Linked DNA regions of Sus scrofa. The protein of the gene in region 1 interacts with the protein of each later gene in a pairwise test. Links are inferred from orthologs where the notes say so. Each region holds a gene or a part of one and is shown on either strand. Other genes may lie near its edges.

The links.
Region 2: the proteins of CEP57L1 (region 1) and CCDC136 interact in binary tests that used the Homo sapiens proteins (3 or more experiments, as listed by UniProt). The two-hybrid records come from large-scale screens. The link is inferred for Sus scrofa from reciprocal best matches to the Homo sapiens genes CEP57L1 and CCDC136.
Region 3: the proteins of CEP57L1 (region 1) and RAD51D interact in binary tests that used the Homo sapiens proteins (3 or more experiments, as listed by UniProt). The two-hybrid records come from large-scale screens. The link is inferred for Sus scrofa from reciprocal best matches to the Homo sapiens genes CEP57L1 and RAD51D.
Region 4: the proteins of CEP57L1 (region 1) and DISC1 interact in a two-hybrid assay, tested with the Homo sapiens proteins (2 studies listed by BioGRID and IntAct). The link is inferred for Sus scrofa from reciprocal best matches to the Homo sapiens genes CEP57L1 and DISC1.
Region 5: the proteins of CEP57L1 (region 1) and KLC3 interact in binary tests that used the Homo sapiens proteins (3 or more experiments, as listed by UniProt). The two-hybrid records come from large-scale screens. The link is inferred for Sus scrofa from reciprocal best matches to the Homo sapiens genes CEP57L1 and KLC3.

Annotation. Positions count from the first base shown.
Region 1 is NC_010443.5:75,169,561-75,174,253, reverse strand, and holds the start of CEP57L1 (centrosomal protein CEP57L1), read right to left. Parts: upstream 3,262-4,693; 5' UTR 2,999-3,261; coding exon of another isoform or gene 2,995-2,998; coding exon 2,872-2,994; intron 1-2,871. UniProt on the Homo sapiens protein: Centrosomal protein which may be required for microtubule attachment to centrosomes.
Region 2 is NC_010460.4:19,813,526-19,817,756, forward strand, and holds part of CCDC136 (coiled-coil domain-containing protein 136), read right to left. Parts: intron 998-4,231; coding exon 674-997; intron 1-673. UniProt on the Homo sapiens protein: May play a role in acrosome formation in spermatogenesis and in fertilization.
Region 3 is NC_010454.4:40,052,639-40,057,314, reverse strand, and holds the start of RAD51D (DNA repair protein RAD51 homolog 4), read right to left. Parts: upstream 3,139-4,676; 5' UTR 2,985-3,138; coding exon 2,864-2,984; intron 2,567-2,863; coding exon 2,505-2,566; intron 2,321-2,504; coding exon 2,202-2,320; intron 1-2,201. UniProt on the Homo sapiens protein: Involved in the homologous recombination repair (HRR) pathway of double-stranded DNA breaks arising during DNA replication or induced by DNA-damaging agents. Bind to single-stranded DNA (ssDNA) and has DNA-dependent ATPase activity.
Region 4 is NC_010456.5:58,908,175-58,912,405, forward strand, and holds part of DISC1 (disrupted in schizophrenia 1 protein), read right to left. Parts: intron 3,374-4,231; 5' UTR 3,306-3,373; coding exon 2,367-3,305; intron 1-2,366. UniProt on the Homo sapiens protein: Involved in the regulation of multiple aspects of embryonic and adult neurogenesis. Required for neural progenitor proliferation in the ventrical/subventrical zone during embryonic brain development and in the adult dentate gyrus of the hippocampus.
Region 5 is NC_010448.4:51,733,072-51,736,484, reverse strand, and holds the end of KLC3 (kinesin light chain 3), read right to left. Parts: intron 3,320-3,413; coding exon 3,232-3,319; intron 3,153-3,231; coding exon 3,051-3,152; intron 2,530-3,050; coding exon 2,356-2,529; intron 2,168-2,355; exon of another isoform or gene 1,826-2,167; coding exon 1,735-1,825; exon of another isoform or gene 1,661-1,734; coding exon 1,620-1,660; exon of another isoform or gene 1,537-1,619; coding exon 1,430-1,536; exon of another isoform or gene 1,244-1,429; coding exon 1,180-1,243; exon of another isoform or gene 917-1,179; coding exon 845-916; 3' UTR 732-844; downstream 1-731. Other genes in the region: ERCC2 (TFIIH basal transcription factor complex helicase XPD subunit), read left to right, coding at 40-183, 548-640. UniProt on the Homo sapiens protein: Kinesin is a microtubule-associated force-producing protein that may play a role in organelle transport. Plays a role during spermiogenesis in the development of the sperm tail midpiece and in the normal function of spermatozoa.

The DNA.
Region 1 (4,693 bases):
TAAACTCCTAATTTACTCCCACATCCCCATACACAAATCTGGAGACTTTGCCATGACATTAAATGAAAATTCCTTCCTTCCAGTTGCTCAAGCTAACTTGGAATCATCTTTGACTCCTTTACACTCACACCTGATATCCAATCTACCAGCAAATCTGCTGGCTATATTTTCATAATATATCCAGACCCTGACCTCTTCCATTGTTATCCCCCCAGCCCAGTACCTCATCATCTCTCACCTGAACTTTATTTTAGCTTCCTACTTAGCATCTCTGCTTCTACCCTTGCTTCTCCATGGTCTATGATCAGCACAATTAAAGAAGTAATCAATTTAAACAGTCAGAACATGCAACCCATCTGCTCAAAACCCCCTCCAGTGGCTTCCTATCTCCATCGAAAAAGTCAAAGTTTGGGAGTTTCCGTTGCAGCTCAGCAGGTTATGAACCTGACAAGTATCCTTGAGGAGGTGGGTTCCATCCCTGGCCTTACTCAGTGGGTTAAGGATCTGGTGTTGCTGCGAGCTGTGGCGTGGGTTGCAGATGAGGCCTAGATCCCCTGTAGCTGGGGCTGTGGCGCAGGTCAGCAGCTGCAGCTCCCATTTATCCCTTAGCCTGAGAACTTCCATATGCCCCAAGTTCGGCCCTAAAAAGCAAAAGAAAAAAAGAAAAAAAAAATTGTTCCTTCAATCACCTACAGGACCTCCTTCCTCTGTGATCTCATGTTATTCTCATCTCCTGCCACACTGCTATTTGTTAAATGTGGGCACCCAGAGGCTTTTGCACTGGCTGTTCTCTTCACAGACATGTTTCTCCTCCAGGCACCTGCACATTTACTCTTTCCCCTCCTTCAGATCCCTCATATGTTCCCTTCTTGATTAGGCCTTCTCTGACCTTATTTAAAAGAGAATCTTGCCCCTAAAACTTGCCACTCCACATTCCCTTTCCCCGCTGGTTCTTATTTTTCTCTGCAGCATTTGTCTTCACTTACTATATATGCCACATATTTATTGTCTATCTCTCCTTAGCACAATGGAAGACCTATGAGAGTAAAAACTTTCATACATTGTGCTCAATAGTATATCCTCAATGTCCCCTTATACAGTAGGTATTTGATAAGATATTTGTTCAGTGAACAAATGGATAAAAAGGAATATAAGAGCCAGTAACTGAAGAAAGGTCTCCACAGATAGGTGGACAGTGGTGTACTAAGTGAGGCTGGAGAGGTGGAAGGGACCAGATGACATAAGATGACATTTGTAAAGAAATTTTGCCTTTAAAAGTAGGACACACACTGAATGGTTTTAAGTGAAAATGTGAATCTGAATGGATTTGCATTTTGAAAAGATGATTCTGGCTGCTGTGTGGAGAACTAATGGAGAAAGGCCAGAGTGAATAATCACTATTTCACCATTCCTGGCAAGAGTTTATGGCAGTTTAGAAAAGACTGTGCTTATGTAGATGGAGGCAAAGGATGGATTTGAGGGATATTTGGGAGACAAAATTGAGAGTACTTAAAAATAATTTGGCTACAGAGGTATGAAGGACATTAGGAAATCAAGGATAATGCATAGGTTTCAAATTTTCACAAGTGCATGGCAGTGCCCTAAGTGAAATAGGGAACACTGGGAAATAATCAGATTCATAAAAGATACTGTTCATTTGGTTTTAGGCATGTTAAGTCTGAGGTGCTTTTGAGATATCCAAGAAGAAACACCATAGAGATGGGCATAAGAAAGCTAAAAGGTGAAGCTGGATGAAATTATACATTTAAGTCATAGGTGGTGGTGAAACAAAGCTAAAAGGTGAAGTTGGATGAAATTATACATTTAAGTCATAGGTGGTGGTGAAACCATGGCTATGAATGAGATCATACTCAATCACAAAGTAAAAAGGAGACCCACACTTAAGAAACTACCCTATCCTTTGTGGGTTGGACAAAGGAAGATGAGCCTCCCCCCACCCCAAAAGACACAAGAAGGAGTGGCTTTGTTTTCTGAAATCATACTCATAAGAAGGAAGTTCTCATTTTTTAAAATTCTGATTTAAACAAGCAACATTAGAATGTTCTAGGCTTTCCAAATTAAACCAATTCATCAGAACTCTGTTCAAGGATAGGTCACTTTCAGAAACTATCTGGAAAATTCATAGTACGTTTCTCTTTTCTGCTCTTTACTCTTTTCTCTTTGCTGTATTGTACATCAAAACACAAAAAGCTATTCCTCCTGAAATGTATATGATTTTGGCTTATTGCAGTTTCCTGAAATTACTATCTCCCTCACTCTTGGCCTCACCATATGCTGTTCTTTTGACCCTCTTTCCCTGAGATGAAGATTTCCCTGACTTTCCAAGACCGGCCTAAGTGATCTTTCTAGCCATCCTAATAATATCATATAGTACTGTATGTTTAATGTGTGTACTGTACTTTATATATGTATTGTATAATGTTTAACCATTAGTTTAACTAGATGGGAACTGTGCGTTTTCCACTTGTCCAGTACTTGGTTTTTAGAAACTAAGTTTTAGAAACGCATGTATTGTGCAACATGAAAAATTAAAACTAATTTGTTATCAGTCCAGTGATAGCCCTTCAAACCTCAACTTTTCTCAAGAAGAATGACTTCAAACAGCAATATGCAAACAAATTATTTAATCTTTTAAAATTACTAAATTTTAGAGATTTTTATAAGTCTTTTTTCCATATGGTATTCTTAAAGCCTGCAAATATTCATATCTAGGAACACGAGGGATTCTTTTCCCTTCAGTTTTGTACAAAAAGGATTTGACAACTCTCTTTCAAAGTGTGGCACAGGATTTCTTCTGCGCAAATAAAGCCTCAAACAATCCTATGCAATGGCAAACAAAGGTGCACTTACACAGGGATACTGAGTCCATCCCGCGTGAGCCCACCTGACAGAGCAGAAGCAGAGGTAGCACCGCGGAGCACTAGTTTCCACAGCATCCCTCTTGCCTGACCTTATGCAGCTCTTTCCGACCATCCATGTCCTCTCAACGCGCCCGCGGTCTTGGGCACTCGGACTAGTTCTTCCCACGTAGATTACTGATAGTCCCTGGACTAAGGAGTACAGCTCTAAGGAGACGGCTTCCTTTCTAAAATCCCACAGGAAATGGAGGAAGGAAAAATACTGTCAAAGGAAAAGTGTCAGCCAAGCCCACAGTGCTCACCAAGCCAAATCTCTCAGTCAAATCTCCGGCAGCGCTAGCCGTTGGCTCGCAGGGAGCCACAGGCAACGTCGCAGTGGCTCCCGGGAGCTGTAGTTTCTGTCTCAAACAGAACGCGCCTACAGCACCAGAACTACACTTCCCAGAAGTCAATGCGAGGACGCCCTGCCTTCTTAAATCTGGTGTTTGGCGCAATAAAGAGTTTCTATTTTTTCCTCTGATTTTAAATTTTGATTCGAGTTCTTCCAGGAGTTTATCTGTGCCCTCCTTATTTGCGGTTCTTGTCTCGTGTGTGATAATTTCGGCGTATTTCAACTTTTCGTTACCCCCGTTCAGCCCAAAGAAGCCGAACGTCAAGGCAAAAAAAAACCAAAAAAACCAAAAAACAAAAAAAAAAAACGCCCCCCGAGCAGATTCGGTGCCTCTTAAGGCGCATGCGCCCGGCCCACCGTTACGCATGCGTAGCAGCCGTCAGCGGTTGGCGGCCGCTCGCGGGCTCGGGGTCCGGAGGTAGCTTGTTGGAGGGCGGGGCTTTTTCCGATGGCTTTGCCTCAGCGGGTCGCGTCTGCTTGGGCGGGGAAGAGGGCGCAGGGGCAGGGGCAGGGGCGGCTCCTGGCTTGTGCCGGGCGGAGAAAGGGGAGGGGCTGGGGGTGAGGACCCCGTCTCCCCTCCCCGCTCCCGCCCTCTGGGCCGAGCCCCATCGATGGGGCTGGGCGAAGGGGCGGGTTCTGCGCCTGGGGCCCTGCCGCTCCGCCAGCTTCGCGGCCCAGCCCCGCGATCGGGGATTGCTGGGCTGCCCTGTGCCGGTTTGGGTTGGCCGGCAGTGGGCGAGGATACCGGGATTGGAAGAGAAGCAGCGTCAGCCCGTGGATTCTGAATCCGCAGAGCCAGAGACGCGTTCCTCCAACGCCACCACCGAGACAGAGGCTGCACGAGACTGCAGCCCCTGGGGAGCGCCAGGGTCTCTAGCCGCGGCGTCCAGCGAGCCAGGGTTCGGCGAGCCTTTCCAGCCAGCGCCCGGCCGGGCGGGAGGAGCTGCGGAGGGCGGGGACTGGTGCCGGAGGAGGGGCGGGGTGGGAACGCTCCCGAGAACACCGTGGCTGCACGGACAAAAAACACCGAGTGGCTGCAGAGCGTTCAACTGTATCCAGCCTTTTGGGGCAGAGCACGGATTTGACAGCTCCACGGCTTGAGGATATCCGCTGACCCCGAGAGACGGAGAGGAACACTTCCCCGACACTGTCCAGCAAAGCCAGCTCTGTAAGGTTTCAACTTTCCAACTTTTTTTTTTTTTTTTTTTTTTTTTGTCTGACTAGAAGACTGCTACTCCGGGTAGAAGGAGAGGGCGAGCTCTGTCTGGTAGATCGAAGACATTTCTGGTACCAATGTCACCCAGGCTTATGTTTTCGTGACGATTCGATTTTTCTGATTTATTTCTTACATTTCTCGTTTTAAAAATACGAAGTGCTGTGGTGGACATGCTGAAAGATTGAAGAGGGCAGGAAAAAAAACTCC
Region 2 (4,231 bases), on another chromosome or scaffold:
CTCTGCTTGACCCGGGCCAGCACAGGGCCTCCCATTATACCCAGATCATAAATCGAGCCTCAGAATAAAGGCAAACTCTCTGATGTCAGGAAGCCTAGCAACGAGCTGGGAGGCTCGCTGAGAGCAGAGCTCTCGCTTTTGAGTACCTCATGTTTTACTGGAAATAACCTCTCTTCCTCTCCAGCTGTCTCACGCTCTGCTTTGCTGCCTCCTAAAACTTCTACTTGGGAGGGCTAAAGAACAGTAAAAATTATCAGCCAGGGACGCTGGAGGAGGACTGGAGCCTCCACCCACCCCCGAATGTGACCCAGGCAAAGCACCATGATGCCAGAGCAGGAGGAGGAGTTTTCCAAGGTGACCGGCCCCTATAATGCCCACCCCAGAACTGGAAACTTCCCCAGGAAGGGCTTTAGCACGGGCAAATCAACAAATGCCAATGGCTCTCAGAGCAAGAATTCTCAGGGTGCAGCTCCACGGTGCTATCACAACGCCACTATGGACCTGGTTACGTGACATCCAGTTTTTCTCTTTTACCGTCTTGGGTCCAACCCGGAGGTTTTCTCCAGGGGCTCTCAATTCACGACCTAAGCCTGCCTTCCACCATCCTCTTGTACACGAACTCCTTCTGCTGGATCTGACCGACAGATCAGGAGGACGGCTTGCTTTCTCATACCTTGCATCTCAGAGAAGTCGGAGAGACTTAAGCTGTTGGAAGGGTCAGAGGTCTTCATTTCCATTTCTGCGCGGAGCGTGGTGATCTCCATCTCATACTCTCCCCGGATGCGCTCCATGTCCTCGAGTTCATTCCGCATCCGGCAGATATCCTCCTGCAGGGAGGCGATGTCACTCTCGTGATCGGTCGCAGAATCTTCCGCTGCTTGCCGCAGATTCTGGATCTCAGCCCGGGCCAAGTGCAGCTCCTGTTCTATCTCCTTAAGTTCATATTCTTTGTCACGCTCCAAAAGGGAAATCTCCTCCCGCAGAGAGCGCAGCTCGCCTGCAAAGCCCAAAGGGTGAGGTGAGCGAGAGGCTAAGTCAGCAAATCTACCCTATTCTAGAGGCACAGAGTTAAAGGCAGACTGATTTCTCATCTGGAAACTCCTGGTCTTTACCCCATCAGAGAAGTATGGCCTCACCTGGGATGGAATAAAGGGCACACCTAAGGGAACAGACTGAATCTGTGGGACGGTGCAGTAGAAAAGCAGGCCGTGGGAGTTCCCGTGGTGGCTCAGCAGTAACGAACCTGACTAGTATCCATGAGGATGTGGGTTCGATCCCCGGCCTCGTTCAGTGGGTTAAGGATCTGGAGTTGCCATGAGCTGTGGTGTAGGTCGCAGACGTGGCTTGGATCCCGCGTTGCTGTGGCTGTGGCGTAGGCTGGCAGCTGCAGCTCTGATTCAACCCCTAGCCTGGGAACCTCCATAAATCTTGGATGTGGCCCTGAAAAAACCAACCAAACCAACAAAAAAGTAGACCTTGAGGCTTGGCATCAAAAACAACTTAGGTTCCTCCAAACAAAAAGTACTAAGTGCTTCTAAGAAACTGCCTGACAGTTAGAGACCAAACCTAATCTATAGCATCTTACTGATGCCCTGAGTCTTAAAAGTCCCTACTAAAAAAATTTACACATTGGAGTTCCTGCTGAGGCTCAGTGGATTAAGAACCTATCTGCGGCAGATTGGGTCACTGTGGAAGTGTGGGTTCGATCCTCGGCAGATGCAGTAGGTTAAAGGATCTGGCATTACTGCAGCTGCTGCATAGACTGCAGTTATGACTGGGATTCAATCCCTCGCCCAGGAACTTCCATATGCCATGGGTGTGGCCATAAAAAAATTTACACAGACTATTCTCATCTATTCAGTCTGTAAGCTCAGAAATTACAGCGCCTCAGCTCTCCCATGAGCAGCCTGTGCACGTACTAGTCCCAAAACAATTGTGTATTTAGAGCTCACAGCTGAAATTCAAATATAGGTTCATCACATGATAACCAAACATGAGAAAATAACCTAGATGCTGCGGTACATTGAGGGACTGTTTAAACTCAAGAAGGTTAGCACCTCCCTTGCGGTGCATTGGGTTAAGGATCCTGCACTGTCACTGCAGAGGCTCAGGTTGCTGCTGTAGCACAGATGTGATCCCTGGCCCAGGAACTTCCACATGCTGCAGGTGGAGCCAAAAAAAAAAAAAAAAAAAAAAAAAAGTTGAAGGTTCAATAGCATACTGGCAGCATTTAAAAGAAACTGGCAGATCTATAAAGAAGACATGAAAATGTTTCCATAATATACTAACTAGAAAGAAAAATGAGGGAGTTCTCTTGTAGAGCAGTGGGTAAAGATCCGTATTGTCACTGCAGTGGTTTGGGTCACTGCTGTGGCACAGTGTCAATCCCTGGCTGGCCTAGGAACTTCTGTATGCCATGGACATGGCCCAGAAAAAAAAAAAAAAGAGAGAGAGAGAGAAAGAGAGAATGAATAGAAAGAAAAATGAACTGTAAAATACATGGTATTATCTATTTTTGCAAAAACTATGTATATAAATAATATATAACACAAATACAGGAAGACATAAAAAAAGGTCTGGAAAGATCTATGTCCTATCATAAAGCATAGTTGCTTCTGAGGAATAAGACAGCATGTGACAGGGGCTTTTACTTGCCACATCATATATATCAGTGCTGACTTTTCACAACAAGCCTATATTTTATAATAGGATTTAATGTACAAAATAAGTGTGTCAGAGCTCTCAGTATCTGTGGCGCATCTCAAGGTTTCTAGATACAGGTACCCATCTGGGATCAGGAGAACCTAAAAGGAGATTGAGAGTAAAAGGCACTGCCACCAATAGCAAATTCAAAATCTGGGCATCAGGATCGGGCGATTAGGGAGGACTGGGTGGGGAGGGTCAGGATTCCCACAAATTCTTTGCAAGGCACACTGTCTCCAGCTCTCGCCCCCAACACCTGCTCATTCTACTCACCAGATTTCAGCGTTCCCTAGCCTCTCCCCCTACCTCCTTAAAAAACTAAGCAAAGTCCTCCATGAAATAGTCTCACAGCCCCTTGTGCTCTGCAGTGTGTGTGTGTGTGTGTGTGTGTGTAAAACGTTGGTCTCCCCCTTACTTTGTTGTAAGCTTCACGAAGACCAGAAGTGTGTGCTTTGCTCACCATTCCAAGATCTGCCAGGGAACACTGCACACTGCACTCAATAACTACCTGCTGTATTCATGCATAAATGAGGCAGGGTTTCACCTGGTACACAAACTTTTACTGAGGATCATGGGTACAGAATTACACATTTGGCGTTTTTTGTTGTTGTTGTTTTGCTTTTTCTTAGGGCCACACCTGTGGCATACGGAGATTCCCAGGCTAGGAGTCAAATTGGAGCTGCAGCCACCAGCTTACTCAGCCACAGCAACTTGGGATCTGAGCCATGTCTGCAACCTATACCACAGCTCACAGCAACGCCAGATCCTTAACCCACTGAGCAAGGCCAGGGATTGAACCCGCAACCTCATGGTTACTAGTCGGATTTGTTTCCCATGTGCCACAATGGGAACTCCCAGGTTTTTTTGTTTGTTTTTCAAACTAGAAGAGAACACAGGTGTTTGAGAAGAAAAATTTGGACATACTGCACATACAAATGCTGAGTGGACAGAGTGTCTCCGGTGCAAAGAGGAAGGTCTCCCGCCTTCCTCTGCCAAGGTCACCTGTGCTACATCTTTTTGCCAGCCTTTCCTTCTCCACAATCATCCTGTCTCCACTCCTTGGTCTGTTCAAAAAGTTTAATTGATCACTTCTGGGCCATTTAGATTTTGACTTCCTTCCTCTTTGAAATAAAGTCCTTGCTGTTCCCACTACTGAAGGTCTGCCTCTTGGAACCTACGGTCTAGTAGTGAGACACCAAGACCACCTGCTATCAGGGCAAAGGCCTGGGAGGGTTTTCTGCTCCTTCCACCTCCTCACTAGGCCTTTGATGTTAGGGTTCAAATCTCCCCTGCCTTCTCCCCTGGGGTCTAGCCCTAAAAACTGGCATTTTCAGATCCACTGGGGAATGGAAGAAGGTGCCCTTGGCCTCGAGAAGCTTTTCATTAGAAACACAAAGGAGTGGACAGGGGAGGCGAGTAGGCTCGAGGGATGGGAAGCTGAGTGGGCCGGACCTTCTGGACCCTCCGGGTCGGCTGGCAGTCGGCAGGGCCTGACCGGTTCCGAAGAGCCGGTGCGACTGACAGTGGG
Region 3 (4,676 bases), on another chromosome or scaffold:
CTGGCCCCATCCACCGGAGTACCTCGACGCCACGCCTGTACGTCCACTTGCGCAAGAAAGCCTCCCACCCGGAGGGGGGGCAACAGGGCAGACGTGTTATTTAGAGTTGTGTTCTTAGACTTAGGAATGTGACAGGCATGACTTCAAGGGCCTGGTCTGCCACCTACTAGCTGGGGGATCTTGAGCAAGTCACTACCTGTCCCGCTTTTCTCATCTACAGGATGGTGATTTTCAGGGGAACACATTCATTGTGGTTGTGAAGATAAATGCAAGGAGGTATCCAGTTATTTCAGGTCACAGTGTCTGGTTCCTGGTGAGTGCTCAGAAAGCCCATCCGTTCCAGACTGCCCAAGGCCTGCCTCCTCCACAGAGCCTCCCAGACAGTGAAGTCCCTTGCAGTGACCCATGGCAGCTGCCATTCTGCCAATTTTCCACCTGACTGTTTCCGAAATGCTGCTTCAGTATATGCTGGTTTTTTTCTTCTTTTTTTTTTTTTTGTTTTTTGGCTTTTCTAGGGCCCCTCCCGTGACATATGGAAGTTCCCAGGCTAGGGGTCTAATAGGAGCTGTAGCCACCGGCCTACGCCAGAGCCACAGCAACGCGGGATCCTGAGCCGCGTCTGCAACCTACACCACAGCTCTCGGCAACCCACTGAGCAAGGCCAAGGACCAAACCCACAACCTCATGGTTCCTAGTCGGATTCGTTAACCACTGTGCCATGACGGGAACCCCCCTTCTTCTTTTTTTCTGACCGCCCCATGGCACATGGAATTCCCAGGCCAGGGATCATATCCTAAGCCACAGCTGCAGCAACACCAGATCCTTAACCCACTGTGCCAGGTTGGGGATCTAACCTGTATCCCAGGGCTCCCAAGATGCTGCTGGTCCTGTGGCACCACAGTGGGAATGCCTGGGCTGGTTTTATAAATTCCCAAAGGCCAAGGCTGCTCCCTGTTAGTCACCACCCCCAACACACACGTGCCCACACCCCTCTCTTCTGTCCCTTGCTTTTCTCTACCCACCAGACCCCACACTCCTTAAGTGCGAGGGCCTTGCCTCACGCATATTCGTATCATTGGCATACATCTGTCACCTATAGGCACTTGGCCAGTGCTTGATGAATGACAGACCTGGACCCCCAGCTGCAGAAAGCAGGCGCCATGCTATATGAACCTTGCCAAGAGGACATGCACGGGAAAGAGCAAAGGCCAAACCAATCCAAAGACCTTGGTGGTGGCAGTGCTCTTTATCAAATTCTGTACAAACAGGCCAGGAAAGAGGTCAGCCTTCCTTGGCCAGAAGCCGCCTGTTTTCTTCCAACGCGTTCCCTCTCCAAACTGCACAGCAGAACATAAATCACTCCTGTCCCTTCCTGCTGCAGAGTACAGCGAAAGAACCAGGTTCTGGATCAAGTGCGCCAGGGCTGGAGCCCTGGCTGGTATATAGTAGGCACTCAAATAAATGGTATTCAGTTGTGCTCTCTTGCCCCATCGTTTTTTTTCTTTTTGGGGCTGTGCCCGCAGCATATGAAAGTTCGCAGGCTAGGGGTCAAATTGGAGCTGCTGCCGCCAGCCTACACCACAGCCGCAGCAACACCAGATCCAAGACCCGTCTGTGACCTACACAGCTCACAGCAATGTCAGATCTTTAAGCCACTCAGCAAGACCAAGGATCAAACATGCATCCTTATGGATACTTAACCCACCTCAGGTTCTTAACCCAGTGAGCTACAAGGGGAACTCCCTGCCCCATCCTTAAGTGAAAGGGCAGAAAGGGCCAGAGAAAAGTTGCTCTGATCTGTGGAATAATATCTGTGGAAGTGCTGACATCTTGTGTTACAGGACAGTGATTCTCAACCAGTAGCAATTTTGGCCCCCAGGGTCATTTGGCAACAGCTAGAGCCATTTTTGATAGTCATGACCTATGAAGGAGAGGGGTGTAACTGGCATCTACTGGGGTGGAGGCCAGGGATGCTGCCAGACATCCTACTATATGCACAAGACAGCCACCCCCAAAATTATGCATCCTAAGTGGTTAGGAGTCAGAGAAACTCTGTACAGGGTAAGATAACTCAGAAATCCTGACCCCCCTCCCGTGTCTCCTTCAACCACAGCTGAAGCAGCCTGCTCTTTCTCAAGCATCAAAAGCCCAGCCAGAGCCTCTGGCCTCTCGCCTTCTGCCCCAGCTACACACACACAAACCTTCTAATGCCGGTGGACAGGATGGCCGTGGACGTCTTCAGTTCCTCGTAGAGATCAGCGCCATTGCAGGGAAAAGCGGAGAACTGAGCCAGCAGCACCCGCCTCAGGGCGACCAGGGCCTGCGGAAGGGGCGGGGCAACTCAGGAAGCTGCCGGAGCAGCCGGGAGTGTGCGGCAGCGACCCGCCAAGGGAGGGGGCCATCCAGGGTCTCCTAGCCCCCCCCTTATCAATCTCTGGGGACACTCTGCTCGGGGATGGGCATTTAGAGACACCCATGTTGGAGTGTGGAGATCGCCAGCTCACCTTATAAGACAAACCACATTTCTGGGCTACCTCCTCCAAGTCTGCAGAAACCAGGTCCACCACTGAAAACAAAACACGCGGGGTTGATGCGCGCAAGGGAGGCCCCAGACTCCCGCCCGTGACTTTTCCTCGCCTACGCGAACTAGCGGAGCCGCGGGGGCTGGCGCGGCGCCTAGCCCACAGTGGGGGGTTCTAGCCCTCCTGGAGCGGGGCTTGCCCAGTCCCACCCTCCCAAGCTCTGCCAGAAGGCTGTGGGCGTCGGAGGCAGGGGAGGGGCCCCACCCAGTGGGCCAGGGCCGGGGCCAGCCTCCGCGCTGGGCCCAGCCATGTGGCCCGCACAGGCGCGCGCCCACGGTCACCTGTCTTGATCCCGCGGCTCTGCAGAAGCTGGACCATGTCCTGAGTGAGGCCGGGGCACAGTCCGGCCCGAAGCACGCCCATGTTCCCTGGAGGCCCCGGGGCCGCTGGTCCTGGGGGCATCCGCGAGGCCCTCTCCAGACACCCCGCAGCACCCCCTTCCGGACCAAACGCTGGGGGCTGGCGTCGGGAGGAGGCGGCGCACAGGGTGTGGACCCTGCCTGGTCTCCCGCGCCCAGGAGCCTGCCTGCCCGGCCCCGCCGCCGCTTCCGGTTTCCAGGCTCCAGGGCCTGGCCTGCGGCGCCACCTGCCGACCGCCGGGCGGACGGGAGGGCTCCCGCGGCCCCGCGTGGGCGGCACGAAGTTGGGTCCCCTGCCTTTTCCCCATCACGCCTCCTCGCCAGCCTCCCTGGTGCCACTTTCCATAATGAACGCTGGTCCAGAACGTTGGATGGGACCCACCATCCCTACTCTCAGGGACCTACCTGTTGGTGAGGGAAGACAGTGACAAAGAATCTAATCAGATCCTCAGCAGTCGTCTGATAGGTGCTTGAAAGCAGCAGCGCGCAGAGAGGACATCTGCTTCTGTTTTCCAAATAAAAGTAATTTTGAATGATCAACAGTAAAAACCCTGAGTATATAGAACACACACACACACTTTTTTTTTTTTTTTTTTTTTTTTTGGTCTTTTCTAGGGCCGCTCCCATGGCATATGGAGGTTCCCAGGCTAAGGGTCTAATTGGAGCTGTAGCCACCAGCCCGCTCCACAGCCACAGCCACGCGGGATCCGAGCCCCATCTGCAACCTACACCACAGCTCACGGCAACACCACATCCTTAACCCACTGAGCAAGGCCACGGATCAAACCTGCAACCTCATGGTTCCTAGTCGGATTCGTTAACCACTGCGCCACGATGGGAACACCATGTGATTTGGTATTTTGAAAGATCTTTTCTTAACCTTACCCTCTGGAAGAGAGAAAACAACTTTACAAGGTTATCCTCTTACAATCCAGTGAGGTAGGTTCTGTATTTACCCCTATTTTACAGACGAGGAAACTGAGGCTCAGTGCAGTAAAGTCACTTGCCAAAGGTTTCACAGCCTGTAAGGACAGAGCTGGACTTGGAGCAGACGAATTTATATTTCGGTGCAAAGCCAGTGCTGTTTTAACAGCGCCCCCTCCCCACCCCCAAGTTGTGTATATGTTTCCCTACTGTGAAGTGGTTTCATTGAGAACAGAAACATCTGGCCCATTTCTGTCTGCCTCTGAAAGCACCCACTATCCCTCAAGACGTGATGACACTGGGGTGAGGGCTCAGTAGAATTTAGAGTTTTAGCAGTAAACCTGGGTATATGTGAGCTATGAACCATCTGGGTTTTTCCTGTGCCTGCACAGCTAAGACATATGAGGTTTGCTGCCTAGGATTTCTGGATATAGAGCCTGTAGACAAAGTCACTCCCCGAGTCCCATTCCAGTATCACCAGCCTCCTTTCATGCCCAGGTGCCTCTGTCTCACCATCCATCTCCTTCCCTGGGCAGGTCCCAAGGGCACAGGCAGGAAACGTTTTGAGATCTTCAGAGAAGGGCGAGGCTGCTCAGAGCTGGAAGGGGCCCAAGGAGCAGTGCGGTCTGTTCCTCGGTCTCCCCACTCTGACACTGCCTGCTACCCCCCTGCAGCAGGAGCCTCAGATCAAGGGGGGGCTGGCCCCTAATTGTTACACTGTGATCATTATGAAGTCAGCCGATTGCACCTCCTCCCACCCAAACTAAGGGTGTGTCTGCTGCGTCCAGTTTCTCTCTGCTTCCTGTCAGCC
Region 4 (4,231 bases), on another chromosome or scaffold:
AAAAAAAAACATTCATGCTACCAAAACCCAGGGGGCAGAATTGTGGGCTGACTGCCATGACTCACCACCAGGCAAATCTCTGTTTGGTTATTGGGGTGGGGTCGGGAGCCAATCTTTATAACCACATTCTACGTCTGCTTGACTGGGGTCAAAACTCTGATTTGGGAATTGGAGAAATAGAGATATGGTGCCAAGATTTTTTTTTTTTTTTTTTTGGCTTTTTGCCATTTCTTGGGCTGCTCCCATGGCATATGGAGGTTCCCAGGCTAGGGGTTGAACTGGAGCTGTAGCCACCAGCCTATGCCAGAGCCACAGCAACACGGGATCCGAGCCGCATCTGCAACCTACACCACAGCTCACGGCAACGCCGGATCCTTAACCCACTGAGCAAGGGCAGGGATCAAACCTGCAACCTCATGGTTCCTAGTCGGATTCGTTAACCACTGCGCCACGACGGGAAATCCCCGCCAAGATTTTTTTTAAAGGATCTCAGAAATAACGTGTTGGAAATTGTCATTTAGAGTCCGAAAAGCATCATGGTACAAACCTCCACCTAGTGCCTGTATCCTTGTATGTGTGCCTCTCAGCCCCTCTCCTTAGGCCTCAGACAGACAACCACAGAAATCTGTCAGTTAGATATCTATGGCCCATCTCTTTTTTTTCTTTCTTTGTTTTTTCATGGCCACACCTGCAGCATATGGAAGTTCCCAGGCTAAGGACTGAATGAGAGTGGCAGCTGCCAGCCTACACCACAGCCACACCAGATTTGAACCACATCTGTGACCTACACTACAGCTTGTGGCAACGCTGGATCCTTACCCCACTGAGCGAGGCCAAGAATCAAACTCACATCCTCATAGACACTATGTCAGGTCTTTGACCCACAGAGCCACAACAGAACTCCCTGTGGCCCATCTTAACAAGCTAAATTATTTCACTGAAAACAAACAGTAATCAAGCACCAGGCAGTAGGCCAGGCATCATGCATCCAAAAATATTTAAGAGGAGTTCCCGTCATGGCTCAGCAGTTAATGAACCCGACTAGTATCCAAGAGGATGCTGGTTCAATCCCTGGCCTCCCTCAGTGGGTTAAGAATCCGGCATTTCCATGAGCTGTGGTGTAGGTCACAGACACGGCTTAGATCCCACGTTGCTGTTGCTGTGGTGTAGGCCAGCAACTGTAGCTCCGATTCAATCCCTAGCCCAGGAAACTCCATATGCCATGAGTGAGGCCCTAAAAAGACAAAAAAAAAAAAAAAAAAGTCTGAGTCAAGTGTAGAACTTGGACCCACAAGCAAATGATTATTAATGTGATGAGCACTGAATGGGGCACATCCAAAGGGCTGAGGGACAGGATGGAAGGAGAGGGTCATCGGGGGTGGGGGGGGGGGTAGGAGAGGTCTCACACAGAAGTGGCTCTGCCACCTCCCTGGCTGATAAATCCCACAGCCAGGCTGAGACAGGGCAAAAGGGCCGGGGCCAAGAACATCGGATATGCAGTAGAGAGCAAAGGAGATCCACTGCTGGGAAGGAACATGAGCCTCACATTTTCACGTACTCCTACCAAATCCTAATGAGACTCGACTTCCCTGCTTACGCATGCATATCCCCACATGCACACGTGCACACATGCACACAGCCCAGATGGAAAACACAGTCTCTGAACAGGATGAGCCAATGGGTTGCCACAAAGCCTCTCTGCGCGGGTTTCTCTGGGGACTTCTCAGGGTAGAACAGCCCTGTCTACCCCCAGCTGTACCCCCTCAGATGAGTGGACAGCAAGTCATGATGCTGGAACTTGCTTCTATACCGCCTGTCCCAATTTCCAAAGCACTCACATTCCAGCTTGAGCCACAGAACAATCTTGTGTGATGTCAGCATCTCTAAATAAGGAAACTGAGGGCCTGAGAAGTTTAAGGACCAGAAACAAAATCAGTAGTCCCTGCTGCTGAGGATGCCATGAGCACTGCGCATGCAGAAGCAGCTCCAGATCGCCCCCAGTTTGGGGCATCATCATCTTTATATCCACACAGCGACTGACTCCACCTCCCCGGCTCCCTGTCCCCCTTCTCCTGTTTAAAACAGAGCAAGGCTGAGCTAACCCTGCATCACCCAGACCAGAAGCTGCAGAGGAGCCTGAAGCCAACAGAGAGCGAAGCAAGCATCTAAGGGACAGAGGATGAGAACGAGACCAGATTAGAGTTCCAACAGAAGGAGGAGAGATGCAAGTGTAGCAACATTTTTCCATGGCCAGTCACCACAGGGGCTTCCAGTGGGGACTGGGGCAACCCCAGAACCGCCGTTTCCTGCGGCCCCCCCCCTCCTCAGTGAGACCATCCCAGCCCACAGGCTCGGGACACACCCACCTCCAGCCGCCTCCGCTGGCCCTGCAGGCAGTGCAGCAGCGCAGGCTCACAAGTGCGGAGCAGTGGGTCCCAGAGGTCAGCATCCTGAGGGTGGCTGCCCTCGGGTCTCGAGGGATCCAGGGAGCAGAAGGAGGCAGCGTCCATGTCCAGCAAAGGAAGCATCTCGCACTCCAGTCTGGGGCTGTCCCCCGCCATCTGGGCAGCATCTGCCAGGTCCTGAGGAGCCTTGAGGGGTGAGGCGGGAGAGAGAAGCTGAGGGTGTTCATGGGGCCCGTCCACACCAGCAGCCTTGGCCACTGTCTCCTCGGGGCTCTGATGAGAAGCCTCAGCCTCTCTGGGTGGCGGACAGCCTTCTGCTTCTCCACGTTCCCCGGCAGAGACCAGGGAGAGGCGAATGAAGCTGAAGTTGGAGGTGAAGACATCCTGAGAGCCAGGAGGGGTGGGGTCGACCTTGGGGCCACTTCCGAGGCTGCAGTTGGTGCCACTTCCCTCCTCTGGGGATAGAGAGCCTCTGGCCCAGGTGTCCAGGGCTCCTTTCCCACAGGCTGCTTCCCGACTCGGGCTCGGAGCCTCCCAACTGTCCATGGATGGTGGCGCCCCCTGGCATATGTTGTCCCCGGAGCCACACGACCTAGTCAGCCTGCTGGGCAGGGCGCGGCCACCTCTGGGCTGAATCCCTGAGAGACCCAGGGTTCCTCTCCCTGTTGTCAGAGCCAGGCCTCGGGGGCCCGTGGAGGTCCAAGCAGAGGCTGCTGTGCTCCAGGGAATGAGGGTCCCGGTCGAGGGACCCTGCCCCTGGCCTCCAGGGTCACGGCCACATGGTCCTGTCCTGGGTTCAGAGTGCTGGGTCTCCTCACTGCATGCCCCTCCCTGGGCCCGGAGCAGACTGCCCACTGCTGGCGAGAAGAACCTGATCCGGGGCCCAGCTGCACTTCTCATGTAGCCTGGCCTCCGTGCCAGCCGCCTCCTCCGAAAAGACGCTGCAGGTGGTGAGCCATCTTGGCGGCCTGGGAGGAAAGAGGACACGCACCATCAGCACACACATCTCCCCAGCTCAGCTGCAGCTGCATTTGGAGAACGTCCCCGGGTTGGGGGCAACCCTCGGTGCATCTGCCAAAGAGATGCTGGTGCAATGGCCATGGGGCCAAGCTGCTACCCAAACCCTGATGATCCCTGGGAAGCGTCTGCCTGGGATGTGTAGAAACTGCACAGCATCCCAACCCCTCTATTTCCAGAGCAGCCAGCACTGCTGTGAGTTATACTGACAAGACTGCAAGCGCCTCAGAGACCCAACTACGGCAGCACATTCTGAGCCTCCAGCATCTTGCCTGTTGCTCTTTTAGGCACACAGAGCTTTCCCCCTGGAGCGGCATGGAAAGCAAGCACTCTGAAGCCAAACACCAGCACACTCCCAAAAATGAGAGCCAACCACCAATCTGACCACTCTTTGAACACTGTGTGCATTTTCATTAGCTGTGCTCTCCGTGTCCTATCTGACTGTGGACTGTGGGCAGCTGGCGGTCACACAATCTATGCCCATGGATTCATCTCACAGTGAATTACAGGGGGTCCTGCTTGTTGTTATCTCCAAACCAGGAGCTGTGTTCCCCTCCCAGCTATGCAAGAGGAATTTAAGCAATTAAAAACGCTGATACAACTCAGAGGCCTGATGCAACAGCAGTTGAGAGTGTAGGCTCTGGCACCTCTTCAACTGGTTGCAACCTGGCTGTGCCGCTGCTGGCTGTGTGACTTTCCACAAGTTACTTAGCCTCTCTGTGCTTCAGTCTGCTTATCAGTAAAATGGAGAGATGAACAGTACCTCTCTCCTAGCAAGGTTATGAGCATTAAGCTAAATGAGTTACTAT
Region 5 (3,413 bases), on another chromosome or scaffold:
TCCCACGGTCCTGACACCTGGCCTCTCTCCCGCTCAAAGCGGTTCGCCCGGGCAGACAAGCGGGGGAAATTGCCCCGCTGGATCCAGGAGCACCTCACAGACGCCAACCTCAACCTGACCGTCGACGAGGGGGTCCAGGTTGCCAAGTACTTCCTGAGGCAGATGGCACAGCCATTCCACCGGGTGAGCCCCGGGCGACCGAGCTCCTCTTACAGGAGGGACCCTGGCTTGCTTTCTCCTTGAGCCCCAACACCCCCCGCCCCTGACAGGTTTGTGTGCGCCCATGTGCCAGGCCTGGGGGCTGCAGAGGTCAGCGTGCGTCCAAGGGGCCTCTGGAAAGCCGGTCCTGCTCCGCCTTGGATGCAGCCCCTCTGCCGGCCTGTCCTCTGTTGACAGGAGTGGTCCGCTCTGCACTGGACATGTTTCCAGATTCAAGCATCCTGTCCCGTGGCCTCAGGCGGGCCACCTCCCTTCACTACTGGCTGCGGCGTGGACCCTGGGTCGGATGTGCGGCAGCCGTCTGACCTGCTTTCTCCCTCCCCTGCAGGAGGACCAGCTGGGCCTGTCCCTGCTCAGCCTGGAGCAGCTCGAGTCAGAGGAGACGCTGCGGAGGATAGAGCAGATCGCGCAGCAGCTGTAGCATGAGCCAGGCGGGGCCGCCAAGGTGTGCGCATCATGCCCAGTCTTACCTGGCCCCGGGGAGGTGCTGGAAGGTCAGGCGTGCATTTTGGCTGCCACATCCACAGCCTTTAATGGCAGGAGAAAGGACAGTGGGAGGCTCCCCTTCCCTCCCCACCCTCTCCCATTCCTCCCGAGATGCTGCGGCCGCGTGGTCTTGTCGCCTTTATCGAGGGCCAAGGTCCTGGGTGCTGGCGCTGAGGGTCCGGGAAGCCTCACTTAGGTGCCGGCTGGAGAACTGGAAAGAGGCACGGGGGGTAGGTGGGTGAGTGAGGCCCGGACCTAACTCTGCTCCAGCTGCCACTAGGGCTACTCCCTGGCAGCCTGGCCGCCACTGGCTGTGTCACTCATCCTCCTGTCCCCACCTCTCCCGCCTCTGCCCGGATAACCCATCCAGGCCCCCGTCCTGGGGTCCTTTCCCGTGCCATCCCCCCCTTCCCTTGCCTCTGGGCCCGACCTCGTGGTCCCCCACTCCCTCCTTGCCCCAGGGACCCCCCTCACCGGGAGCCCAGTGGCCCTTGGCCCATCCACGTTCAGCACGTTGAGGGACACGGCTCTCTTCATCCTGGAGGAGGTGGGGCACCCGTGAGTCTGGGCGTGTCGGGCTCCTGTCCTGGGGCAGACCCTCCAGCACAGGGGTGCTTGTATGTGTTGCGGGGGAGACGGGAGCCGTGGAAGGTTCTTGAGCAGGACAGGAGGGCTACAGAGGGGGCGTCTGTCCAGGCTCTCCCCCACCTGATCCCACACTCACCCCGCTGCCCCTGCCGCCGCCTCCCCTCGGAGCCGGGAGACCAGCTTCTCGCTTCCCCGCCGGATGGACTCCCGGAGCTTGGAGAAGGAGCTGCTCCGCCGAAGCCTCTGGGAGGGGGGCGCCAGTCAGTCCTCCCATCCAGCCGGTCCACCCCCCCATCCCCCGGGAGCCGAGCGAAGCCCCTCCTCACCTGCTGTTCTGCACCCCCGGCTGTGCCTGTTTTCAGGGCTCCTAGGGAACAGATGAGGACATGGTAGTGGGGACCCTGAGCAGCCTCCTGGGGGAGGGCGGGACTGGGGGCTCACCGAGGGGCGCGGGCAGGTCCTCCCTGCGGAGGATTTCTTTGTACAGCTCTTCCGCCTGCTGGTACTTGTTCTGCTTCAGGTAGGCTGAGGCCTGCGGGGAGGTGAGGGCCTGGGTGAGCTTGGCTCAAATCTGGGAGCTTCCCAGCCCCCCCCTGGGAGACACCTGGGCTCACCCTACACTCCAGGCCTCAGCCTGCAGCAGAGTGGGCTCGGCGCCCGACCCCACCGCTTCCCCCAGGGCAGCTGCCTCCCTGACTCAGAGCAGGAGCCTGCTCCCCCTCGACCTTGAGCCACACCTGTCTTTGCCTCCGTGTCCTCGTCTGCAGAATGGGGCGGCAGGAGCACCTACCTCGTGGGGCCCTTGAAGAGATGGGCAGTACAGGGCAAGTGCTAGGAAGGGGTCTAGCTCAATAAATGCGCTCATCTGCTCCTGGCTGGTCTCCGCGGCTGCCTCGTCGCCTGGCGCTGACCTCTGGGCTGAGCAGCCTTGCCTGCCAGGGCCCAGCTCGGAAGCCGAGTCTCACGGGACCCCTCCAGGGCCGGGCAAAGTCAGGTATCCCACCCTCGAGCGGACGCCGGGCCCTGGCTGTCCCCCCACCCCCAGGGGGGGAGCGCACTCACCAGGTTGTTCTTGGTCTTGGCCACGTTGGGGTCGTGGGGCCCCCCCAGGGCCTCGTAAATGCTCAGGGCCCGGGCGTAGTGCCGCTCCACCTCCTCGAACTTGCCCTGGTTCTGGCAGAGCAGGGCCAGGTTGTTGAGCTGCTTGGCCACATCCGGGTGGTCGGCGCCCAGGACCTAAGGGTCACGGGGTCACATGTCACTGGGGTCATCCAGGGCTGATGGGCCACATGATGCCAGTGGCTGGAATGAGGACCACGTTCACGAATCGGTGACCACAGGACCTCTGTGGAAGATTCTAGGAGGTCGGAGTGGGAGACAGGGGCTGCACCATCAGATGGGATTAGTCAGGTCAGAGATCATGGGGGTCCAGAACCTCATGATTATACGTCAAGGATGGGGTTGCACTGGTCACCTGGGGTTGGAAGATCAGGAGTGGGGTTGGGAGCTCAGGACTGGGGGGGAGGGGGGCCAGGAGGCGAGTCGCAAGAGGAGGGGGTCAGAGCCAGGAGTCAAGGCCCAGTGGAAGTCATGGTAGGTCAAGGGTGGTGGGTCAGGGGATTGAGGGCTCTGGGTGCAAAGTGGGAGGGGCCCAAAAGGTCAGAGGTCACCGGAGCAAGCAAGGGTCCTGCCGAATTGAGTGTTTCAGGATCAAATGGGAAGGGCTACACACGACAGGGGCTCCCAGGGAGCAGGACCTTCTCACGGATCTCCAGGGCGCGCTGGCACAGGGGCTCCGCCTCCCGGTAACGCCCCCGCTTCCCGTAGAGGACGGCCAGGTTGTTGAGGGTGGCGGCCACCTGGGGGTGTGGGGTAGGCAGGTCAGGGGTCAGAGGCCCACAGCGCACAGCCCTCCCTTCCTCCGGGGCCCCCGCTCACCGCCGGGTGCTCAGGGCCCAGGGTCTGCTCCCGGATCTGCAGGGCATCGTGGAGCAGGTCTGTGGCCTCTTTGTACTTGTTCTGGTCCCTGTGGGGCGGCCCAGGGGTGGAGGCGGTTAGGCCAGGCCGGGTAGCAGGGCCATGGGCTGGGCTGATCCAAGCATGGGGGGCACCCTTTGGGG